2 linked regions of the Tamandua tetradactyla genome follow. The protein of the gene in region 2 purifies or fractionates together with the protein of the main gene of each other region. This does not show direct contact. Links are inferred from orthologs where the notes say so. Each region holds a gene or a part of one and is shown on either strand. Other genes may lie near its edges.

Region 1 (11,485 bases), on a different chromosome or scaffold from region 2:
ATGTAAGAGGTTCCCCCCCCCTTCTGTTCAATGATCTACTGCAGGCACCCAGGAGAGAGAATGCACAGTTAGCACGCTTGCTGAAGGAATGAATGTCTTTTTCCTGGGCTGCAGAGGACACCCCCTCACCGATCCCCCTACTCACATGGTGCTGGAAGCCAGGTTGGTGTCTTCGTGCTTGAGCTTCCCATCTAGAGCAAGGCCACGCTTCTCCCGGTTGTCACTGAGCAGTGGGGTTATGGTGTACACCTTACAGAACGTGGAACTGGGGGACACCTGGTCACTGAGGGGTAGGATGAGAAAACAAAGACTCTTGGGGGGGCCAGGCTGGGTAAGGGGCAGCCTGCCACCACCAGACTTCATCTCCCACAATACTAGCCCCTTCCCTCTGTAGGTGTAGGTCACATGGAGGTAGGTTTTATTAGCTCATCCTGCTCAAGGAAATTAAATTAGCAGCTCAGAAGCTTCCTGACTGTGAAGGGAAAGCACTTTTAAGTGGAGATGGTTTTGCAAGAATTCCACCCCCCTCTTCACACTCTCCTGGCCCTATTCTTCTCCCCTAAGATCGGGACCCACATCTGTTCTGATACTCACTCTTGTTCAATCTGAGCCACAGGGCACTTGTACTGGGCGGTGCTGAAGAGGCAGATGTCAGCATACTGTCTCACTGCGTGACGGGGGGGAAGCAGCTTTGGATGTGGCAAACTATTGCTCCACCACAGTTCCAGAGCACATGTCCCGGGCCCCAACCCAACACCACCCCGATCCCTCTGACACACAGCCCTCCCCGTAGCAGTAAACTCTGGGGGGCCCCCTATAACATTCTGGAACAGTCTAAACTCCTTCAGCCCTGGTGGGTATGTCTTTGGGCTGAGATCACACCAGAAGCCACTTCTAAGTATTTCCCTCCCCCGAGACCCTCCCAACCCCCACCTCCTACCAGAGACTTTGATCTTCTTGATGGTCTTGGTGGAGTTGTTGGTGACGTGGACGTTGACATTAAGGGGCTCCCCATGGTAGTACAGCTTTTGAGGAGGAGGAGGGGTGAGTTAATTTGGTCTCTTTTTCACGCGTCCAATTACTAATTTGCCCCAATGTGTATCCATTATTCTGCTTCCTCCTCTAACTCCAAGCCTATGGTGACTCTCCACACCCAGCCAGAGGCCATTGTTGACGTGTGGTTTCACCCCTTCCCCCACGGTGTGGCACCTGTGTCACCCTCTCATGCCCCACCTCCTTGTCCAGGGAAGCCTCGAGGTGAAGGGACCGGTCGGACATGAGGAAGTGGCGTGTGGTTTCAGCTGAAGGCTGGGGACCGGGTTTCTCTGGGGCAAACTGCACCTTTCGGATCACCAGTCGCACAGAGTTCCTGAGGGGATGAGGGGAGTGGGTGGGGGATGGGAGTGGTCAGTTTCCAGACCCCCAAATACCTGCCCCCACAGGGGCCTGAGGCTCACGGAAGTGGGAGGGAATGGTTACTTCACAGAGATCACAGAGGGGATTGCTTCCCTCACCTTTTGTGGCTTTTTTCTTCTAGTGATTTGGCACAGAAGGCTCGAATCTCAAAGTCTACCCCACAGGCCTTGGGAAAGGGAGAAAGAACCACATTACACAAGGCCCGCTGGCCACCACCAACACCCCTTCCTTCCTCTCTCGCCTGGGGCAGGAACTCTTGCCCCATCATGGTCTGGGGAGGTAGGAAGTGAGTCTTCTTCCTCTGCCTCCCCAAGGCCTGGAACCTAGCAGAGGCTTGTTCCTGGCAGTGCAAGGTGAGCCTGTTTCCAGGTACATGCAGATCAAGAAAGCAGGGGGCAGTGTCACAGGTGGGCAGTGACTGTACCATACACCCAACCTGCACTCAGGATACTTCCCTACTCCTGGTTTCCCCATGGGCCACCTCCCTCTCAGGTGTGCTCCCAGGCTCCTGCCGAGCTATGCCCTGCCCTACTACCCCCAAAGCTGTTCCTCTCTCACCTTTCCTGTGTCCTCAGGTCCTGGCTGCAGTGTGACGGAGCAAGGCAGATTCTGGGGTATCTGTGGCAGAGGGAAGGGGAGGCTTCAGTCCTTCCAGAAAGTCCCCAAATCTTCCTCCCAATCTCAATTCAAGAGGCTGGATAAAGGCCTCCTGGAGATAAGAGAGGAAGAAGGAAGGGGACCCAGGGAGGAGGCAACAAGGCAAGGGCTTTCTGAGTACAGGGACCTTGAAGGGAGGTGGACCTGGGGTCCCTGCCTCACTGTTCATCCAGAACTGCCCATGACAGGTGCCCCACCCTCCAAACAAGTCCCAGATCGCTTGCCCTGCAGAAAGTGGGGGTATCCTCACTGTGAAAAAAAAGGGGTGAGCATGCTGTCCCAGCTTCCTCAGCAGCCGCTCCTGCAGGCGGGTAGGGGGCCGGGGTGGGTTGGGCATCGGGGGGAAGGCCTGGTAGGTGGCGATGAACAGGTCTTTGCGGAAGGACAAGCCCAGCACATCCAGGTCTTCACGGCCATAGCGGAAGGCGCAGGTGAGGGTCACAAACACTGGTAAGGGAGGGCAAGGTGGGGTGGTCAGGAGCCTCCTTCCCCAGTTCCCCTTGGACCTAGCAGCAGCTGCTCCTTCCTCAAAGCATAACCTCTGCCTGAATCCTACTCCTCACTCCCACCTCAGCCCTCCATCTCTCTGGGGCACCCTCTCAAGGCCAGCCCATCTCACCTCCCCGCCTTCCTACCTCCCTTTGGGCCCTCGGACTTGGGGTCAGTACCTTTACGGTCCTTCAGGTAGTCAGGGTCCACCAGCACCACGCCATCTAAGGAAGTGACACATGGGTTCATTTCTTGTCAGGGCCTCTCCCCCATTTCTGGGCCCAGGAACTTCATCCCTTCCTGGGGAAGGAGCTGTCACTTTCTGGGAAAACTTACCTACAGGATCCACTTTGTCCAGGTGATCTACAAAGTCCCGTTTGCCCAAGTACACGGTGAGCTAAAGGTGTAGAGGGGTCATAGGGGAGGTTGGGTAGGAGGGTGACGGGGTCTCAGAATCCTCAAGTGACTGCCCTGACCTGGGTCTTCCCTGGCTCGGATATTAGGAAGGAATTTCTCCTCTTTAACTCCCAGCGGCGCTGGAAGGGCTGGGTGGTGAGGTTTCCTAGACTGCCCATTCTTTAGGCTTTTCAGCTGTTCCCTATCCTCTTTTCAATCCTCTGCTCACCAGTCAGGTGTGTGTTTGGGTCCTTGGGGAGGCCTCAGCCCTAAGGAGCAGCTATGGGCCTCAATCACTCCCCTCAAGGGGCTCTGAGATAAACAGACCATAGCCTGGGAGCTGTTAACTTTTCCCAGCCCCAGGTATCGGGGTTGGCTCCTAAGAGGGCTGCAGGCACGGGGCTTCTGGGCCCATCCCCTTTGGCCTTGCTTAGAGACTCAGGCCTCTCCCCACCCACCCCTGCAGCAAGCTCAGGCTGAGCAGCCTCTGTGGCAAGGGGCTTCAGGAGGGAAGGAAGTTGGCTCTTAGCTGTCACAGGAAGTGGGGAGCTAGGGGTTGGGGACCATCTAGGGGCAGGCTGGGCTTTGTTAGGGCCTGGGGAGTGTTAAGGGGATAAACGCTGTGGGAGACTCACCTTGCAGTTAGGGCTCGACTTCTTGAAGACCCTAACAAAACAGAAAGGGAAACCCCACTGCCTCCCTTAGACTCAGCAGGGACCCCTGCCCACACCAGGACCTCAAACCTCCCCAGCCAGAAGCAGCTCTTACCCAGGATTCCTGTCTGGATGCTTTGAGGCTTTGCCCAGTCCTTCCCCCTCCCACTTCTTCCCAGAAGGAAAGGCAACCAGAGCTTCTTAATATTTCTAACACAGCAGCCACTTGCAGCTGGTTGTCATGGCAAATCCCCCTTTTATCCTTGGCCCACCCTCACTAGCCTCCCTCCCCTAATGGTAATGGCTTCTGGTTGCCACAGGAACTACCCCAGAGGACCTAAAGAGGAGACCTGGATGGGCAGGTAGCAGCAGTGTCTGTGTATGGCCTAACCATCTTCCATCTGCTCTGGTCCATGCCTGCTTAGCGAAGGGACAGAGGTCCCAACCTCAGAGACAGCTGGAGTACTTGGAAGATCAATGGCTTTAGCTTTCACCCCTAAAATGGTTTCTATCACAGGAACTACCCAAGTCTGACCAACTCCAATAACCTCCAGCGATCCCCATCTCTGATCTCAACACCTTAAAAGCCAATTCATCTTTCAAGATCCAGCTCAGATGCCAATTTTGGGAAGGAGACCCAGCCCAGACCCCAGATCACTTCTTTTGGGGTTTCTGTTATACCTTGTTTATGTCTGAACTGTGGAGTGATGGCACACCAACGGTAGCCAGCTGTGTCATCCGACTATCTCCTTAGACAGACTGTGCTCATCAAGGCCTTACTCAGTGTACCCCCGCCCCCGCCCCCCACACAATGTGGTGAAGATGGTGCTACCAGATGATACCCATGGGGTGACTGCTCCATGCTTGTACTGTTCGAGGGTTTCATGTGTGTTATCTCATTTAATACCCTTAACAAGCCAGTGAGGGAGGTCCCAATATCCCCGTTTTACAGGTGAGGAACCCGAGACATAGGCCTAGTGTTTTTTTTGTCTAAGGTGTCTCAGAGTGTAAATGGTGGAACTCAGATACAAACAGAGATAGTCTGGCTGTGAGTCGATGCTCTTAATCAAACTACTGTACTCTCCTGCTTCTGTAAGTGGTAGCAACAGTTTGTTGGATTGGAGGAGATTTGCTTTCCTGTTGCTGAAGCAATCTGAGCCTTGACTCCATCCCCTGCTGGGAAGGTAGGGAAGTGTCTAGGGACTCCAGTGCTCTGGTCACTTGTGGGCCTGTTCTTTGCTGCACCACCTTACTCCTCCCAATCCACTCACCTTTACCAGTGATCCCTGGAAAGAGCCTCCAGAGAGTAGAAACTGAAATCCTGCCAGTTGGCCCATCCCTTTCCATTCCCACTGCCCCAATTTCTGTTGTAACATCATTTGCCCCTTCTTCCCCAGAAGGCCAAGCTGTCCCAAGGCCATAAGGTAAAGGGTACAGATGCCTCCTGGTACCCTTAATCAATCAAGGAGAATAAAGCATCCCACTTCTTGCCCCGACTTGGGAACTGATTGCAATGGTATCATCTAGGCTTTCCCACCTCTTTGACCTCAGTTACCTCTGAGTTCCCTCTTTGTCTCAATGTTTCCTCCTATTAGGAACCCTGGCAGAGGGTTGTAACAGCCACAGTCAATTGGCCAAGTGAAGTGTGGCTCTGGGGCAATTGCCATTTGGATCTTAATCCAGCTACCTCCTGCCATGCTAGGTAGAAACCATGTGTGTAAACTGAGGTTAGCCAAGGAGGTGGGGTGAGGGGGTGACCAGGGAGGTGCTCAGTGAGGGTGGGGGTGGGGCAAGAGATGCCCCCTCACACTTCCTGCCATTCTCTCCACTTCGTGTGGCCTAGAATTTGATGGGGGTGGGGGAAACTGCCAAGTCAGCAGTCCTACTTTAGTCCATCTATCCCCCTCCCTGAACTACACAACGGAAATTGGGGGCCTCCTTCAAGTCAGGGACTTCCGCTTTCTCTGGGGTGTCCTCCAGTCCTCCCTCTCCAATACTGGGCGACTTGGCGCTTAGAAACTGGGGTTCTCATACTCCCTGGGTGGGGCGTGCTGGGGCTGATATAACATTTTGCAGAAGTGATAGCTCAGGACCAGGTCCTGATCCCCTCTGAGTTGAGGCATAAGGTTGCAACCTTTTACTCTTTGCTCCTGCTTCCCAGGGACTAAGCATCTACCCCTTTCCCCCTTAGGGGTGTTGGGTCACAACAGGAAGTGCATTTTGCTAGAAGCCAAAAAAGAGAACTCGGGGTGTCAGTGGAAGGAAGGAGCCTCGATTGCACCGAAAACATCCGGGGAGTAGATGTTATGCCCAGGGCAGATACTACCCTCTCCCACCCCCGCCCGATACCCAGAGTGTGGGAGGAGTTGGGCCCAGAATCGGGGAGGGTCGCCATGAACTCTCTTTCCCCAAGATGAAGGTGTTACTGTTAGCAACCTGGGGGAAGGCAGAAGTTTGGAAGCGGAGCGACCCAGTCCTCGGGACAGATGGGGGCAGTACAACTGCTTATGGGATACTGGACGGGAGGCTTTCCACTGGCTCGACATTAGTTTTGGGGCTTCCTATCCCGACGTCCAGCCACTCCATACACATCCCTTTGGGGCCACCTGCTCTTACCCCGCCCTTGCATCGCAGCCTGCACGGAGAACCCAGGCGTCCGGCCCCCACATCCCTACAAGAACCCAGACGCCGGTTTCCTGGTCCCCTTCAGCCCTCGCTTCCTAAAGGGGCCCGGGCATGCGCCCCCATTATCCGCGAGGACCTAGGTGTGCGGCCCTGGATGGCTGCCCCCTAGGGACCCAGGAGTCCGGCCCCCCGGATTCTCTCCCCTGTGTCCTTGTCTGGGGACCATCCCAGCACCAGCCGCGAGCCGCCGCCCATGCCCTGCGGCGTGGCCCCACCTCCCTACCTGGTCCCGGGTTTCTCCCCCATGGTGCGCGCGCCCGCCGTCAGACGCCCCGCCGGGTTCGCCGCTCGCTCGCAGCCTCTTCGCCCGCAGCCAGGTCCCTACTCCTCCCCGCGCCAGTGCGCACGCGCGTCCTCCGCTCTTTCTCCTCTCCCTCCTCCCGGTCCGCCCTCCCCGCCCCCGCCCTCGGATCCTGGGGAACCGGGGCCAGATGCGTCAACCCGGATCGCGCGCGCCGCGGCGCTGCCCGCCCTTCCCTCCCAAACACGCGGTGATTGGCTCCGCCCTCACCCTCTCCGCCCTCACCCTCTCCGCCCTCCAGCCCCGCGAAGAAGCTCTCCCGGCGTGCGCGGTTCCTACCGCGGCTCTTCCTGCCCATTTCCCCGCCCCGCTACATTCCCTTAGAAGCTAATTGGGTTCTCTTAATCAAAGGTTCCCGCCTTCCAGGAGAATGGAGGACTCTGATTGGCTTCCGGCATGCAGGACCTTGCAGGGGTCACCTCCCCTTTGTTTGCTTTCTCTGTGGCGGTGGAGGCGTTGGGGGCGTTGGGGGCGGTGGGGGCGGTGGGATGAGCCTAAGCACATTCTGGGAAGGAGGATGAGGGGGATTCACACGTGGGTGAGCGATTGCAGTTGCGTGATATTTCCTTTTCTGCGCGCTGCTCACCGGCTCACCCCAGAGTGAGCAGCCTTATTCGGCCCTTCATCCTGCTTTATTGTGGTGCCTCAGCTCCCCCTGGTGTCTATCTTTGCTCTTCGCAGAATTCTTTTTCCTAATTTCTCCTCCATCCACCCTGGATCCACCCTCCTTTCCATCCATCCTATTTTGTGCCAGTCCTTACGCTAGGCGATAGGGACACAGACGTGAATTAATGAATTAACATGGTCCCTGCCTTCCGAAGGGTCGAGGGAGACATAAATAGGTATTAAGAGACCAAGAATACTATAATAGAGGTATGACTCAGAAGACAAAGTGTTCTTGGGAGGGGTTGAGTGGGCTGTCCAGAGGAGGGGACATTTGAGGACAATCTTGAAGGATGGGCAGAAGCTGGGAAAAGGTATTCCAAAAGGAAGGGGGGAGGACAAAAGATACTTCCTGTTTTGAAGTGTTTGTGGGGTAGAGGGCAGGAGAGATGGGGTTGGAGAGGAGCACGGGAACAGGCTGTGGAGGATTTTGTATAGCCAGCAAAGGAATGAGGCTAAAGCTGTTCTTTCAGGACACCAGTGGTGGCTTTTTTCTTTTCTTTTTTTTAACTTTTATTGAGAAAACCAAACAACATACAAACACGAACATTCTTAACATATAAACATTCCATACTTGGTGTGCAATCAATGGCTCACAATATCATCACAGTTGTATATTCATCACCATGATCATTTCTTAGAACAATTTAATGAGTTGCGGCTTTTTAAAGCAAGGGTATGGCATGATGAAATTTCTTTAGGAAGACAGATCTGGGCAATGTGGAAGGTGGAGGTAATGGGGCAAGACTGGGACAAGGTAAAGGAGTTTAGCTGTATGTAAATTAGTCAAGGGAGATGATGAAGTCTTACAATGGGAGGGGAGAAGAGGGACCAGACTGAAGAGTCATTTCTGGGGTAAAATTGACTGGACTTGGACTTGGGAAAGGATGATGGATGACTGGAATTTCTGGACTTATGTAGGGAAGGTATTTCTCCTTCTTCTATCTCTTGTCTTATACTCCCCTGTACACCTAAACAAACTACTTCCACACGTCTCCCTCTTCTTCTCCATGCAACCAAAAAAGTAATGTGTGTGACCCGACAATTTCTGATCTTTAAAGTTCAAACACAGGCTTTGCCACCAATATTTCCCTCCACCACCCATCACCCAATTTCCTCACCACCTTCTAAGCTTGTTCTTCATCCCTGTTTTAGTTTCCTATACTGCTCAAGCAAATACCATGAAATGAGTTGGCTTACAATGGGAATTTATTAGCTTACAGTTTGAGGCCACCAAAATGTCCAAATCAAGGTATCATCAAGGAAATGCTTTCTTTGCGAAGACTGGCTGCAGAGATCCTTGGCTTCTCTGCCACATGGCAAGGCACATGGTAGTTCTACTGGTCTTTCCCTTCTCTTCCTAGTTTTGTTGATGTCAATTTCTTACTTCTGTGGCTTTCTCTATCTTGGTCTGCATTTCATTCTTATATAAAAGACTACAGCAATAGGATTAAGATCCATCCTGAATGAGGTGGGTCACACCTTAACTGAAGTAACCTCATCAAAAAGTCTTACTTACAGTGGGTTTACATCCACAGGAATGGATTAAATTTAAGAATATATTTTTCTGGAATACATTAGGCTTCAAACCACCACAACCTCTTTCAAGCTTTATGCTTTTTTGGCTTGTGGATGAATTTGATCTAAATTTGACTTTGGACAAAAGGTTATGGACAAAGGGTTTATGAGATCTGTATTGCTACATATCTGAAGTACCACTGGTACAGAAAGGCAGTGGTGCGCTTGACATGAAAGCTACCATATTAAAAGATAGTAATGTATCCCCCTCTCTACGTGGGACATACATCCCAGGGGTGTAAACCTTCCTGGCAACGTGGGACAGAAATCCTAGAATGAGCTGCTACTCAGCACCAAGGGATTGAGAAAACCTTCTAGACCAAAAGGGGGAAGAGAGAAATAAGACAAAATAAAGTGTCAATGGCTGAGAGATTTCAAACAGAGTTGAGAGGTTGTCCTGGAGGTTATTCTTATGCATTATATAGATATCACCTTGTTAGTTAAGGTGTAATGGAGAGGCTGGAGGGAAGTGCCTGAAAATGTAGAGCTGTGTTCCAGTAGCCATGTTTCTTGAAGATGATTATATAATGATTTTAGCTTTCACAATGTGACTGTGTGATTGTTAAAACCTTGTGTCTGATCTTTTATCTACCTTATGGACAGATGAGTAAAACATAGGGATTAAAAATAAATATATAATGGGGGAACAACTGTTAAAATAAATTTAGTAGATTGAAATGCTAGTGATCAGGGAAAGAGAGTGATAAGAGGTATAGGAAAAAAATAGGGGAAACAAAGGCTAAAATATATTGGGTAGATGGGAATACTAGCAATCAATGAGAGGGAGGGGTAAGGGGTATGATATGTATAAGCTTTTTTCTTTTTATTTCTATTTCTGAATTGATGCAAATGTTCTAAGAAATGATCATGGTGATGAATATACAACTATGTGATGATATTGTGAGTTATTGATTATATACCAAGAATGGAATGATCATATGGTAAGAGTGTTCATTTTTGTATGCTGTCATGTTAAAAAAAAAAAGGTAGTAATATATCCTGGGTGGGAAAAATCAATGTTAAAACGATGTCATTTCTTCCTAAATTGTCTATAAATTTAATGCCCCATCAATCAGAACAACAATGGGATTCTCTGGGGGAGGGGGTGTTGACAAGTTGATTCTAAATGTAATCAAAAGAACCCAATTTCAAGTATAGCTAGAGAAATTCTAAAAAATAAAGAGTGAACAAAGAGTGAAGTAGATACTTGCCTTCCCAGTAAAGATAATTTTTCGTAAGTTACAATAATGAAAACTGTGTTATTGGTGCCATAGAACAGTGAAACTGAATATAGAGTCCAGAAAAAGACCCATGTAGTAGCATTTCAAATCAGTGAGAGAAAGGATGCATATTAACTAAATAGTGTTGACAACTGACTATCCATTTGGGAAAAAAAAAACTCTATTTCACATCTTAAATAAAATAAATTCCAAATGAATTTAAGTTTTAAATGCACAGAGTAAAACTATGAAAATATTATAAGAAACTACATGGAATAGTTTTATAATTGTGGGAGTAGGGGCAGGCCTTCCAGAATATCAAACTCCAGGACTATAAATAATAATAGTTAAGACTTCATAGCATTTACTCTGTGCCAAATATTTTCCAAGCACTTTAAGAATATTGACTCATTTAATTTCACAGCCCTATGTATTAAGAGGCCATATTTATCCTCATTTTACAGAGGAAGAAATGGAGGCAGTTATGTAACTTGCTGGGTTGCACAACTACTAAGAAGAAAACTGGTGTATGAACCCAGCAGTATAGGTCCAGAGTCTGTGCCTTTAATCATAACACCTTACTTCAAAGAGTCTAAGAGATTTAAAAACAGCATAAGTAAAATAAAAAGACAAACTGGAAGAAAACGCTTGCAACCCATATAACAGACAAGAGTAATTTCCCACATGTATAAAGAGTACCTACAAATTTATATGATAAAGACAAGCCATTGGGAAAGTAGGTAAAGAATATGCAAAGATAATTAATACAAAATAAATACAAATGTCTACTAAACATATGAAAAGTTACTCCATTTCACTAATTGGGGAAAACAAGTTAAAAGAAGGAGTTATTATTTTTCACCATTCTGATTAAGAAATAAAAAGACAAATAATTAGCATTGGGAAGGGGATAAAGTTCAGAGCACTATCCTACATAGTTGCAACATAGCTAGAGGACATTTTGGGAGTTTCTATCGAAATAAAAAATAGGTGTTCTCTCTTACCTAACATTCATTCATTCATTCAACAAATACTTATTGAGCACCTTTTATGTGCCAGGCATTGTTCTAGGTGATGGGAATAAAATAATGAAGGCAGGATCCCTTTCACGGAATTTATTTACACCACTCTGGTTGCTGTGTAGAAAAGGGACTACAGAGGGCCAAGAGCTGTGAAGAAGCTACTGTAAGAGGGAGAATGGTGGCTTGGATTAGAGTAGTACTAGATATGGAGAAATGTAGAAAAATGAAAACCTAATAGGATGTATTTTGACTGCAGAAGTGCTGTCATACAAGACAATAAGGGAAGATAAACAGAACTCTTAGACTCGAATATTATAATCACAAAGATACACCAAGATAGAGGCATTAGAACCTTCACTACATTGTATGTGTTAATGAAAAATTGGAGCTGTCGCAAGAATTCAG
Region 2 (11,847 bases):
TGGAAATCTCAACTCCAGTGCCGCTGCCTCAGCAAGGTGCTCCCCAGCGAACTCACTCTCTACCAAGTCGTTCTCTCCTGTCTCCTGGCTTCATTTTCTGCAGAGCACTTCTCTCTCTCAGGTTTTTTTATTTACTTCCTGCCTGACTTCCCACAGTAAAGGCTGGGCTGCGATGGAGGGAGGAGGGTTGGCAGGAAACTTTGCCGGCTCACCATACTATCCTCAGTGCCTAGCACAAGTCTCAGAGAATGAATGACTCAGTGACTTGCTCAGGGTTAAGAATAAGTTTGGGACATCGGAGGGATAAGGCTCCAGATCACTCAGTCCTCTAAACCTTCAAATATTATCTCCTTTGAATACCCACCCCTACCCCCTGCAGCCAAGGGAGCCGCTGTCTATGCCTGGTGATTTCTGGCTGGGATGGACACTGCCTTCATTCTGCAGCTGAAGACACAGACTCAGAGAGGCCATGAAACTTGCCTAAGGCCATCCTGCTAGCTGCTGGGTTTGAACTTTGTCAGGAACCACTAGGCTAGGCTGCCTCTGGTGGGTACGCGATTCTGGGCCTACTCAGTACTTCTCCCCCATAGAAAGGGTTAGTGGCACAGAAAGGTGTATGGTATAGCTCACTGAAGCTGTGCTCTGGGGAAGGAAGTGCTATGAATAACACCCAAACACCTGAGAAAGTTGAAAGGCTGAGGAAGAGGAAGTACATGCCCTGGGCTCTGAGCTTGACTTAGCAGCAGAGGAGAGCCAAGAACCTGAGGGCTGGCAGGTTTTTTGATGCCCACTGGAGGCCCAAATTCCCTCCACACCATTCATGCCATTGCTTACACACCTCCGATGATAGGGGAGCTTACCACTCCTACTGCAGCATAACTCATTTTTGGACAGCAATGATGATCAAATGTTTATATTTAAAAGTTGAAACCTATCTTTCTAAAACTAGTCTTCCCCAATCTATCCAGAGATCTTGGTTTCAACTCCCAATATTCCTGGAATCTACTGTCCACCCTCTCCACCTCCTGTCATCCCTGCCTCAAGTCCTGTCAGGTCTTGCTGAGATGATCTCCACAGCCCCCGACTGGGCTCTCCAAACTGCAGCAGAGTGATGAGCTGATCTCATCACCTGCTTCACCCTTCCAGGGTTCTTGCTGCTTACTTCTTTTCACATGAAGACCAGGCTTTGCAGGGGCGGGCCCTGTCAACCCCTCAACCTCATCTGTATGTCCCCCAGGCACGGGGATTGGAAGTTCTAAGCACACACTCCTGCCTGTTTACACCGATTGCCTAGTTCACTCTACTTCTTTCAGCTCTCAAGTCACATGTCACCTCAGGGAAGTTGCCCCTGGACTCCCAAACGAGGGCAGGCTAACCTGTTTATGTAGTTTGGGCACCGGGTACTTCTCTTTTGTAACCCTTACTACCACTGTAATTTAACATTTATTTGTTTCATTTTCTGACTCATGCTCACCTCCCTGATTACAATGCCATTCAGGTCTGTTACATTCAGCACAATATCTTTATAATTAGAACAGGAGGACCTGGCATTCAGTAAGCGCTCAATAAATGTATGTTGACTGAACAAATGACAAACTGCTGAGTTTTTGTCTTTACAAGATCACAGCTTTCAATGTCCCTTCCTATACCTAGAAATATCCAGACATGTGACCTGGCTTCCTGGAGGTAGCTACGGTGTTCCAGTGGGAAATGGGGACACATCTTAGACCAGATAAATTTCTTGGCTTATTCTAAGCCAATTTCTTGGGATGTCCCTGCTCCACCCTTTTAGCACCATCAGACTCACTGTTGCCAGTGTGTATAGATGTCCAGAAGGGTAACAGGCTGAGCCAGGAAAATTTTCTGCAGAGAAAAAGAGAGCAGCAATTAACCCCCCAGCACAGGAAGCTCCTGCTCTGGGCCCAACTCTCCCCAACCTCATGACCGGCAAGGATAGCTGGTTAAAAAGGGGGTCTTTTTGCTTTGGGAAACATACCTGGTTAGCCCTGTCAGCACCATTCAAAACCTTCCAGAGACAAACAGGACAAGCAATTTCAGCTAAAACCTTCTAAGACAAATGTTGGTAAGAGATACCTTTGAATTTTGCAATGTTCCAGGTTAGCATTCACCCAACTCCCAGACACTCTCCATCTCAGAGGCCAGGAGATGAGGCTTTTTCTACTTTGACCTTTCAAAGGGCCTTCAAAGGCCTGGCAGGTCAATCTCTCTCAGGCAGTATGAACCATAATCCAGACACCCAAGGTATCTAGGAGGCACAACCACAGTCCACTTGTCTGCTGGGAAGAAGCTGTGCCCAAATGTTGTCAGTGCCTTGGTGGTAGGGGAAGAAACCGGGTGGAATCCAAGCCTTCAGTGCCAAGGCCAGTGGCCCTATGCTCTCTGCTAATATCAAGAACCTGGGGTTTCAGCCCCAAGGAGTCTGAGTGAACAATGTGGGAGGAGGACAGAGGTTCACAGACCTGGGCAGAATGGCCCCAAAAGGGAGTCAGGCAGAGCTGGAGTCAGCATCTGGAGTCAGCATCTGGAGTCAGGCAGAGCTGGGTTTGAGGTGGAATCCCTGAGTATCCCTGGGCTAATCTCTACACCTCAAACTTCAGGTTCCTTCCATAACACAGGGAACACCAAGTGTCAGCCTCACTCTGTTCTGTCCCAGGCACACTGGCCTCCTCATTGCCCCAATTTCCCCACCTCCCATTCCCACTGGCATCTTGCTGTTGCTTCTGTCTAGCATGCTCTCGTCACTGCTAGCTGCGTCACGTACATCCTCATTTCCTTTAGGTCTCTGCCCAAAGGTCACCTTCTCAGTTTGGCTTCCCTGATTACTTTATTTGCAGTCGTACCCCTGACATTCTTTATCTCCCTTGCCTGCTTTATTTTTATAGCTAGCATGTACCATCACCTGACACACCATGTGCAATCTAATAGAACGTACCTTCTATGAGGGCAGGACACTTTTGCCTGGGTATATACCCCAATGAAGATAGACACTGGTGACTTGCATCCTAGCTATTAAGTGATCTAACAGGAGTCAGAGGCATAGCCATGGCTCAGGGAAGGTTGGAAAAAACATCAATAACATCCCCAGGACCCATCACTCTTTGACAGTTCGGGAGGACCTGAGAGCAAGCATTAGGATCAGTTCTACACCTCAGCAAAAGGGAACCTGCCTAACTCCCACCACTCACCAGTTTAAAATCCTCCAACTGCCTCCCACTACTCTTAGGTAAGGACGAAAGTAACCACAGGACCCACTCATGCCAACTCGTTGCTCCCTTTCCTGTCCCTACAGGGACCTCTATTGCCCTCATCCCCAGCCACAGAGGATTTTCTGGAGACCAGTGCTTACAAAACAAGCTCCCTCCTACCACAGGGCATTTGCATCTCTTCCTAGAATATCCACATCCCTTCCTTCGGATCTTGACAGTCACTTCCTCATGGAAGCAAATTTCAGATAGTCCTTGTGACTTGGACAATTTGCCATACCATATCTTAGCACCCTATGGCTCTCCTTCTTAGCACTTAATGTAGTACATTTATAGAGACTTTTAATACTTTGGTTTATGTATTCCCTACTAGACTGCAAGCTCCAGGTGGGCTGGGAGCCGTCCTCACCATTCTATCATCAGCAACATGAAGCCAGATTAACAGTTATTAAATGAATGAATGATGTAAGAAATGACTCCCCCACGAGTTCTAACCTCAAAGCTGTCCAATTCAGTAAAGAAGAATCGCTAGGGGCTTGAGTTTCAATTCAGTAAAAGGCCGAGGGCTCCTTCTTGGCTCCTCCGGAGGCTGGTCGCCCCTCAGACCCATCACAACCTACTCGGCCCGGGGCGGGGGTGGGGTGGGGTGGGGTGGGGGTGGGAAGCGCCGAACCACGTGGCCAGAGACTAAAGAAACTTTAAACTGCCGCTCCCAGGAAGGGGGTGGAGGTGAGGGGCAGACTAAAGAAACTTTAAACTGCCGCTCCCAGGAAGGGGGTGGAGGTGAGGGGCGCGGGAATTACAAAAGCCCAGGGAATCCTATCACATGTCTTGGCCCGCCCACTACAATGATGGGGAAACTAAGGCCCAGAGGGATTGGGAACCACAGGATAGGCAGAGGCTGCGGCTCCTTCGGCGCCCCGGCCCACCACCTCGAGCCCGGCGGAATCCAGCTCCTGGGGCCCGCCCGGCAGTCCGGGGAGGGGGTGTGGGCCGCTGCTCTCCGGATCTAGCACGCGGCCCTCGCACGCTCACCTGCCCACTCTGCTCCTTCACTTCCCGCGCCGCGCGCACATAGCCCGCGTGCAGCAGATGCTGGTAGATCAAGGGAAGCAGCTCCCGCCGCTTTCTGGCTTCGGCCATGCCCACGACCCCCGGCCAGTCGGCTCACCTGCACGCCCCCCCCAAGTCCCCGCCCGCCACTTCCCTCGTGCCCTTAGACCTCGCGCGTCCCACTTCCGGCCCCTCCTTCGTCCGGGTCCCTTGGCGCGCCGGGAAATGTAGTCTTTTTAACTTTGCGTGGCTGTCCCCACCCCAGCGGGTGAAGGGGGCGGAGACTCAGAGGGCAATAAGACCTCCCATAGGAGGGGAGGGCGGGGATTGAACTAGCCCCGCCTCCTGCACGGCCATCCTATGAGTGTCTCCCGCCGCGGAATCCCTTTGAGTCGCTACTTGAAAGAACTTGTCTTCTGTTTTCCGAACGCTGTGATCGAGGTTTAGTCATCTCTGAGTTCGACTAGTAGGCATTTCCTCCTAGAGCCGAACTTCCTGTTGTCCATGCCTTTATTCATTTTACGCATTTTTCAGGACTTTTGAACTAAGCACTACTTGTCATTAGTTCATTCATTCACTGATTGAACAAATTGAACAAGGTAACTTGGGTTAGCACCGGGTTCAGCAGGGGGGATAAAATGACGAGTAAGAAGTAGCGGCTGCCCTGAACGCTCACAAGGGAGAGACAAGCAGTCGATATCCAAACAACTATAGTTAAATTCCTTTTGTATGCAGCGTATGGGAGTAGGGAGGAGGGGCGCTTAACCCTAAAGAGACACAGATTAAAGATAGAACACAGATTTATAAATGCAGAGGAGAGATCTGACACCCCACACTGAAGGCATCACATGAGTGCCTACAATCCTGGTGTAGACTGGGGAAACATTGTTATGCTGCTGGCCTGTACTGGGGGGAAGAAGGACAGAGTGAGGACACGTAAGGCTCGAGAAAGGTCCGTAAGGTCCCCATGTAGAGGCAGAACGCTGCTCCAAGGACAATGGACCCTTGTTTGGCTAGTTTTATGCAGGAGAGTGACATGGTTTGTTTTTTAAAAAATATCGCTCTGAACAAAGCATGGAGGATGGATTTGTGAGGTATAAAACAACATGTGACACTGCTATAGTTCAAGGGAGTTTGGCAGGGGAAGGATGAGCTAGCCTGGGGTTAAGTCATTTGTTCTTAATCTCATGGGTCCCGTTGAGAATTCTATGGAAGCGTGAACTACCCAGCCCTTGCTCTAGAAAATTTTGAATCTGTACAGATACATGACATTTTCCACCTATTTCAGCACTCAAATAGGCACATACCTATGTCTTCTAGGATTAGGAACCTCTGCTTCAGGAAGAAACACGGACAGGACAAGATGGTTGATTGGATGTGGTATGTAAGGAATAGGGAGGAAACTAATCTACAGTCAATCAGTTAGCAAATTTTTGTGGACCCCCTACTATTGTGGATAAAAAAGTTCTCTATGCCTATAGAGCTTACAGGTTAATGGGGGAGACACACACTAAACAAATAATCAGTCAGATACGCTGTTGACTTGTGAGGAGTAAATGAGTTCTAAGCAGAAATGCTTAGAAGAGTTCCTAACAACAACAAAAAAAGTGCTGTGTATGTATGTGTTATTATTGTGAAAGCATTCAACAAGAATGCTTGGGGGTTAGAGAAGCATACCCTGAGGACATGATATTAGTGAAGAAATCTGTACTATGTCTAGAGGATAGGGGAAGTGGGAGAAGAATCTCGGACAGAGGGAAGAACCTGTGCAAAGGGCCTGAGGCAAAAAGTACTGCTGAGAGAGAATGAAAGGTAAGCCTTTGGAAAAGGACCCAGAGGGAAAGCACAGGGCTTGCGGAATGCAGAAGGTGGCAGAGGACAGATTCCACATCAAGGATGTTTCTCTTCATCCAAACAGCTATTGGAGGCCATTGATGGTATAAGCCAAAGAAGGTTAGGATGGAATTTGAGTTTTAATGTGACCAGTGTGAATGTCCATGGAGAGGGGAGTAGTGGGTGTGTGAGTAGATGTGAGACCTGTTGGGGTTAGGGTTACAGTCAGGCATCCAGGGGGAGTGTATAATAGTGGCTGCAGTAGGGGAGTGGTAGTGGAGTTAGAGGATGATAGAAGATTCCTGGAGTTATTCAAGAAATAAAATAATCATAGAGATGGGCTGGAATGGGAGAGTGAGGGAAAGGTGATGTTAGGATGGACTCTGTGTTGTCTGTGCAAATACGTGGACTGTAACTTTCACTAATATAGGAAAAATGGAAGGGGCTTGTAGTGGGAGGGTTGAATGAGGAGGGGAGGTAGTAGAGATGGAGGTGAGAAGTTAAGTTCTACTTTAGACATGTTGAGCTTGAAATGCCTTTGAGATACCAAGTGCAGATGTTGATTAGGCACTTGGAAACATGAGTTTGGACTCAGCATAGAGATCTGGACTAGATATGAATATGAGAAATTGTCAACAGAGAGATGATAATTGAGTCTGTGGATGAGGACAAGATGGCCCAAGTTGAAGAACATAGAGAGAGGAGAGAAGGTGGTCCAGGATGGAGCTTTGAGGCAACGTGCAGGGCAGTGAAAAGGAAGTTATGCCTGCAAAGATAGAAAAGGAGCAGCTAGAGAAGTGGGAGAAAACCCAGGAGAGTGGGCTTATAGAAGGAAGAGGAGGAAAGAGTTTCAGAAAAGTGGGACGAGACAACAGTGAGACTGCTCAGAGAGGGCAAACAGGATAAGCATGAAAAAGGGTCTCATTTTAATGTCGAGCATGGAGATTGTTGGTGACATCAGGGAATGAGATTTCTAGAGTGATTGGATAGAGTCACATGGCAGTGGCCAGTCTGATGGGTGAAGGAGAGGTGAGAGAGACAGCGGGTCTTTTGGGAAGTTTTGTGTGAATAGAAGTGAGAGCAAGGTGTTATGGTCAATGTGTGTGTTGGGGGAGGGGACATTGTGCTTTAAGACGAGTTTGTTTAAAGGCTGATAGAAGATCAAGGGGGGAGGGATTAATTAGGACTGTAAGGAATAGAGGAAATAATCATCAAATATAATGTTCATGAGCAAGTAACAGGGGATGGAATCAGGCGTGTAGGTGGAGGGGCTGGATCGGAGAGGAGGAGGGATGTATTCTCTAGAACCAAAAGAGGGAACAAAGAGAGGATGGGTGCAGATGTAGATGTAGGTTTGTGGTGGGATGCTAAGGGAGATTTCATCTTGAGCATCTATTTTTTTCTGCAAAGTGGGAGGCAAGGTCTTCTGCTGAGAATGAAGAAGAGGTGGTGAGGAGTTTGAAGGAAGAAGAATGATCATTCAGATAGTTGAGGAGAAGCTTGCACACAAAAGTCCCTGAGAGTGTTGACAACCCAGTTGAGAGTGGTGGTCATTAATTTATGTGTGCTTGTCCTGTCCTGCTGAGCCATTTTCTCCAGCAGGGCGCAGCTGCCCAGACACAGGCAGGTGGAAGGAACTCAGTGGGGTTTATCCAGGCCCTGATGGGTGGGGAGAGAGACATAGGGCTCTAGAGAGATACTAAAAGAAATGCCAAATCGCTGGGTTCTGGAATCTAGTCTGGGTAGGAAGTGAAATGAAGGCAGATGGGTCAATTTTCAGGGACACCATGAAGGCCTCCGAGGAACCCCTAGGAGGTACAGAACCGGAAATCTGGTTCAGGAGAACAGAGACAGCTTGTAGCTTGAATTAGTGATGACACCCAGCTTTCTGCTTGGGTGGCTGGACGAGCTACTCACAGAGATGGTAAAGGGGGTCATAGAGCATACAAACTATTGTAATAGCTAAGGTTTTTTTTCACACACCCCCCCAAGAACCAGTTTTTACCTCCCCGTTGAGAATGCCTGCCTTAGTAGAATGTAAGCTCCCTGAAGGCAGACTCATGGCTGTCTTGTTGGCTGCATTATCTCCAGCCCCTAGCACAGTGCCTGCACGCAGAAATTGCTCAGTAAATATTGGCTGCATGAATGACTGGACTGTGATAGACAGAAGAGAGGGGGACAGAACAGGCAGGGCACTCACTGTGAGCATAGCCCTGGAAGCAGGACCATGGAAGGCCTCTGGAAAAGGAGAAGGAACTGGGTCATGTGTCCTTGGCTGACCTTGGTAGAAATGGAGAACTGGTATTAATTTAAAAGCAAAAGCAAAAGCAAAAAAAAATGAAAAACGGGATGGTCTATTACCTTCTGTCTGGTAACAGGTTGTTTGCTTTTGTTTTCTTCCTAATAAAATTCGTTCTCAGCACTTACGCTTTGTCCCCGGCTCCTGGGAGGCTGCATCTTATGCGGACAATTTCTTTATCTCCTTGATTTTCCAAATCATACCCTTCACTGAATTGCCTCGGGGCCCAAGCACAAAATTAAAACATTAAACTGATAAAATATAACATGGCAACAATTAAGACAACAGCAAACAAAACAGTACATTAAAAAAAAAAAAGCCTCAGAGCATTTCTCTTGCATTTAGGAAAAGAAGTCTTTGTTAGCCATACAAGCCAGAAACTTCCAGACCACTTGACTGTGAGCACCTCACGGGCAAGCAGCGTGCCTCAGTCATCCTGCATTCCCGTGCAGGGCCCAGTGAGGGAAACGTTAGTGCAGGAAGGCTGGCAGAAGGGAAAGGGAGCTAAACAAGTGGGGCATTGTCCTCTTCTCCTTCCAGCAGGGATGTATCCTGCCCGGAAGTAGGAGATGGTGTTCCATGGGGGAGAGACCACTAGGCCGGGATCTGGGAAAGTGCATTGGGCCTGGTTCTGCTGGGTGGCCTTGGGTCAGTCTCTGGCTCTTGCTCATCTTAGCATTTCCTACTGTCAAAGGAAGGGGTCAGTCAAGGACCCCTCCAGCATTGGGACACTCAAGAGAGGGTCTCGTGTGGGAAGACTGCCCTTGCCCCCAGGACTCAAAGATAGTCCACTGTATCTGGTGTAAGAGCCTGTTTTCTCTTGGCTGAGTCACTTTGGTCAATAGGCTTCCCACGGCTTTCTTTCCTCTCATGGGATGATAGTATCTCTCTTTTTTCATTCCTCAATCTCACCGGAATTTTTAAAAGTGTACACAAGTATACGCACCTGAAATAACAAATTAAACAATGCAGAGATTCATAGACAAAGCCGGTCATCTTTCCCTCCCTCTTGTCCATTCCCAGTCCTCCCAACCCCACCTGGGCCCCTCCTCATCCTATTTCAGCTGCCTGCTGTTAGACTCCCCACATCCTTGGCCCTCTGCCCCCACAAGGGTTTAGTCCTTCCCTGCCCTTACCCTTTTCATTTCTTCTTCTCTCTCTCCCTTCTTTTTTTTTTTAACAAAAGAGAGTTCATCCAAAACATACAACTCTGCAAGTCACTTTTTTATGTTTTATTACGTATCAGAACATTTCTTTAGACACCCTTTTGAGTAATAGTAGCAACTCACATTTACAGAAGGCTTAAATGAGTGGCTCTAAAAAACACTCACCAGTTTAACTCGCACCCTACCCTAGGAGGCCTGTGAAATGGTTATCAGCCTCAAGGCCTGGGGCAGCCAGTCTGTTTCCTGGACTGGCAACCAAATGTGAGTACTCGCTGTCCTGGGAACATCTCACTCCCTTTCGTGCCATTTGAACAGAACTGCATTTTTCCTCTTTGAAGTTTGATTGTTTTCTATTCATCTTTCAAAGCCAAGTGAAAATGCCGCCTCTTCAAGGCTGCCTTCCCTGATTGCCTCCAGCTGAGTCATCTCTGATCTGCAATAAGGGCCCCCTCTTCCGGCAACTCCTTCCAGGTGGACATGCATCACAGAAGGACCTGCCAGGAGAGGGCAGCGCACGACCAATGGAAGGGCTCTCAAAAGGTCAAGGACTCCAAGGGGCCTGGACCTGCCAGAGGTCCTTGGGTGTGCACCCCTCCTTCTCCCGTACAGGTGCCTATGAGAATATGGGCTTTAACCCCAGCAGTCTGACTTCTGACAAGTCTTGCCCTTTCCTGGGCCTCAGTTTTTCTGTAAAATGGGAGGGCTGGAGTAGTTCACTGTTTCTGAAAGTGTGGGGCATTCTTTCTGGTGATGCACGAAGTGATTTCAGGAGATGAATAGATGGACATTTTAAGACTGAAATCATTGTGTATTTATTTTAGTGTATATTAGACAAAAAATAGCTAGCACATCAAACCTGTTATTTCACAGATATTATTGCTTAGGATGGGGCTACAGAAGGCTTTCAAGTAAAAAACAGCGAGTCAAGTAAAAGAAAGCACCAATTAAATAAAAGTACAGGTGGTAAGACAGCCGTGAATGGCTGCTGTGGGGAAACCATCAGTCTGCCTTTAATGTTCTAGAATTCAGTGATTTGAGGTGATGCTGCCTTTGCTAGGGGTGGAGGCAGGGAGTCAGGAGATTGGCTGCGTCCCCCCCACCCCAGACCCTCCTCCACATTTGGAGGGGTACGAGTGCTTGCGCCCGCCTCCCCGCCTTCTTTCTCAGCTTCCCTGTGGTTACCAAGGAGTGGGTGGCTGAGAGGGGCCGCATTCTGGAAGCTCATCTGCTCCCTCATTCTCACTCAGCACCCTGCTTGGCATCAACTATTTAGGGTGATGATTAACCAGGATGCAGGAAGGCACTGGGCATGGGGGGAGAAATAAGGCGGGATGGATAGAGTTTTCTCGCCTGGAATGACCGTCTAATGAGTCCCAAACCTGGCTCACCTGCATCGGGATCACCTGGGGTTTCAATAGAAATACAGATTCCCGGGCCCCACCTCAGGCAATTCTGATGGGGGGGGGACTCCTGCATCCATGTTTTTTTTTTTTTTTTTAAAGAAAGAAAGACAGAGAAGGAAGGAAGGATGGAAGGAAGGAAGGGAGGAAGAAAGGGAAACATCTTTAAACATTTTCTTATTTTATTATATTTTGTTTGTTTGTTTGTTTTTTACATGGGCTGGGGCCGGGAATCGAACCGGGGTCCTCCGGCATGGCAGGCAAGCACTCTTGCCCGCTGAGCCACCGCGGCCCGCCCCATCCATGTTTTTAAAGCTCTCCAGTCAATTCTAATGCTTCCGGGTTTGGGAACTATCATGTTAGACCACACACCTCCCTTAGGGTACCTGTGGGGATGCCGATACACAGAGAGGTCATTTCACTTACTTGAAGTCACCCAGCAAATCAACAGCAGGTGTCCTGACTCCCGTCTCAGTTCTCCCCACCAAGCATCCCTTGTTGAGCCTGGTCCATGGCCAAGAGAGCCCCATTTACATGCATGGTGGGGGTTCTTTGAGTCTCCTTTGCCTCTGGGGTTGTCAGGGACTTTCTACTGAAGAGAGCCGGCTGTGTGAGCAGCCATCTGTTGAGAAGGCCAGAAGGGTAGTGGGGGAAGGTGGAGGGAGCTGGCAACAGAGGGGTTGGCTGCGGTTTCCAGTTTGCACCCTCAGCATGTTGAGGGCAGGAGCTGACCTGGATGGATGCTACCAAGCGTTGGGCATTCACTCCAGATTCTAAAGGAACAGAATTAGGAGCAGTGACTGGGAGGCAAATTCCAGATGAAAACTGCTAACAGTGATCAGTGACCTGAGAGATCAGTGACCTCAGGGCAA

The links.
Region 1: the proteins of TCOF1 (region 2) and ARRB2 purify together in Homo sapiens (affinity purification with western blotting; 4 studies listed by BioGRID and IntAct, with this or other methods). This does not show direct contact. The link is inferred for Tamandua tetradactyla from reciprocal best matches to the Homo sapiens genes TCOF1 and ARRB2.

What each region holds. Positions count from the first base shown.
Region 1 is NC_135332.1:60,669,930-60,681,414, forward strand, and holds the start of ARRB2 (beta-arrestin-2), read right to left. Parts: upstream 6,554-11,485; 5' UTR 6,543-6,553; coding exon of another isoform or gene 6,520-6,542; intron 6,283-6,519; 5' UTR 6,281-6,282; coding exon 6,228-6,280; intron 3,625-6,227; coding exon 3,594-3,624; intron 2,960-3,593; coding exon 2,899-2,959; intron 2,787-2,898; coding exon 2,742-2,786; intron 2,521-2,741; coding exon 2,324-2,520; intron 2,035-2,323; coding exon 1,975-2,034; intron 1,770-1,974; exon of another isoform or gene 1,583-1,769; coding exon 1,515-1,582; intron 1,370-1,514; coding exon 1,234-1,369; intron 1,026-1,233; coding exon 941-1,025; intron 668-940; coding exon 595-667; intron 284-594; coding exon 146-283; coding exon of another isoform or gene 93-145; exon of another isoform or gene 45-92; intron 1-44. UniProt on the Homo sapiens protein: Functions in regulating agonist-mediated G-protein coupled receptor (GPCR) signaling by mediating both receptor desensitization and resensitization processes.
Region 2 is NC_135346.1:31,141,416-31,153,262, reverse strand, and holds the start of TCOF1 (treacle protein), read right to left. Parts: upstream 4,425-11,847; 5' UTR 4,368-4,424; coding exon 4,260-4,367; intron 1,864-4,259; coding exon 1,808-1,863; intron 1-1,807.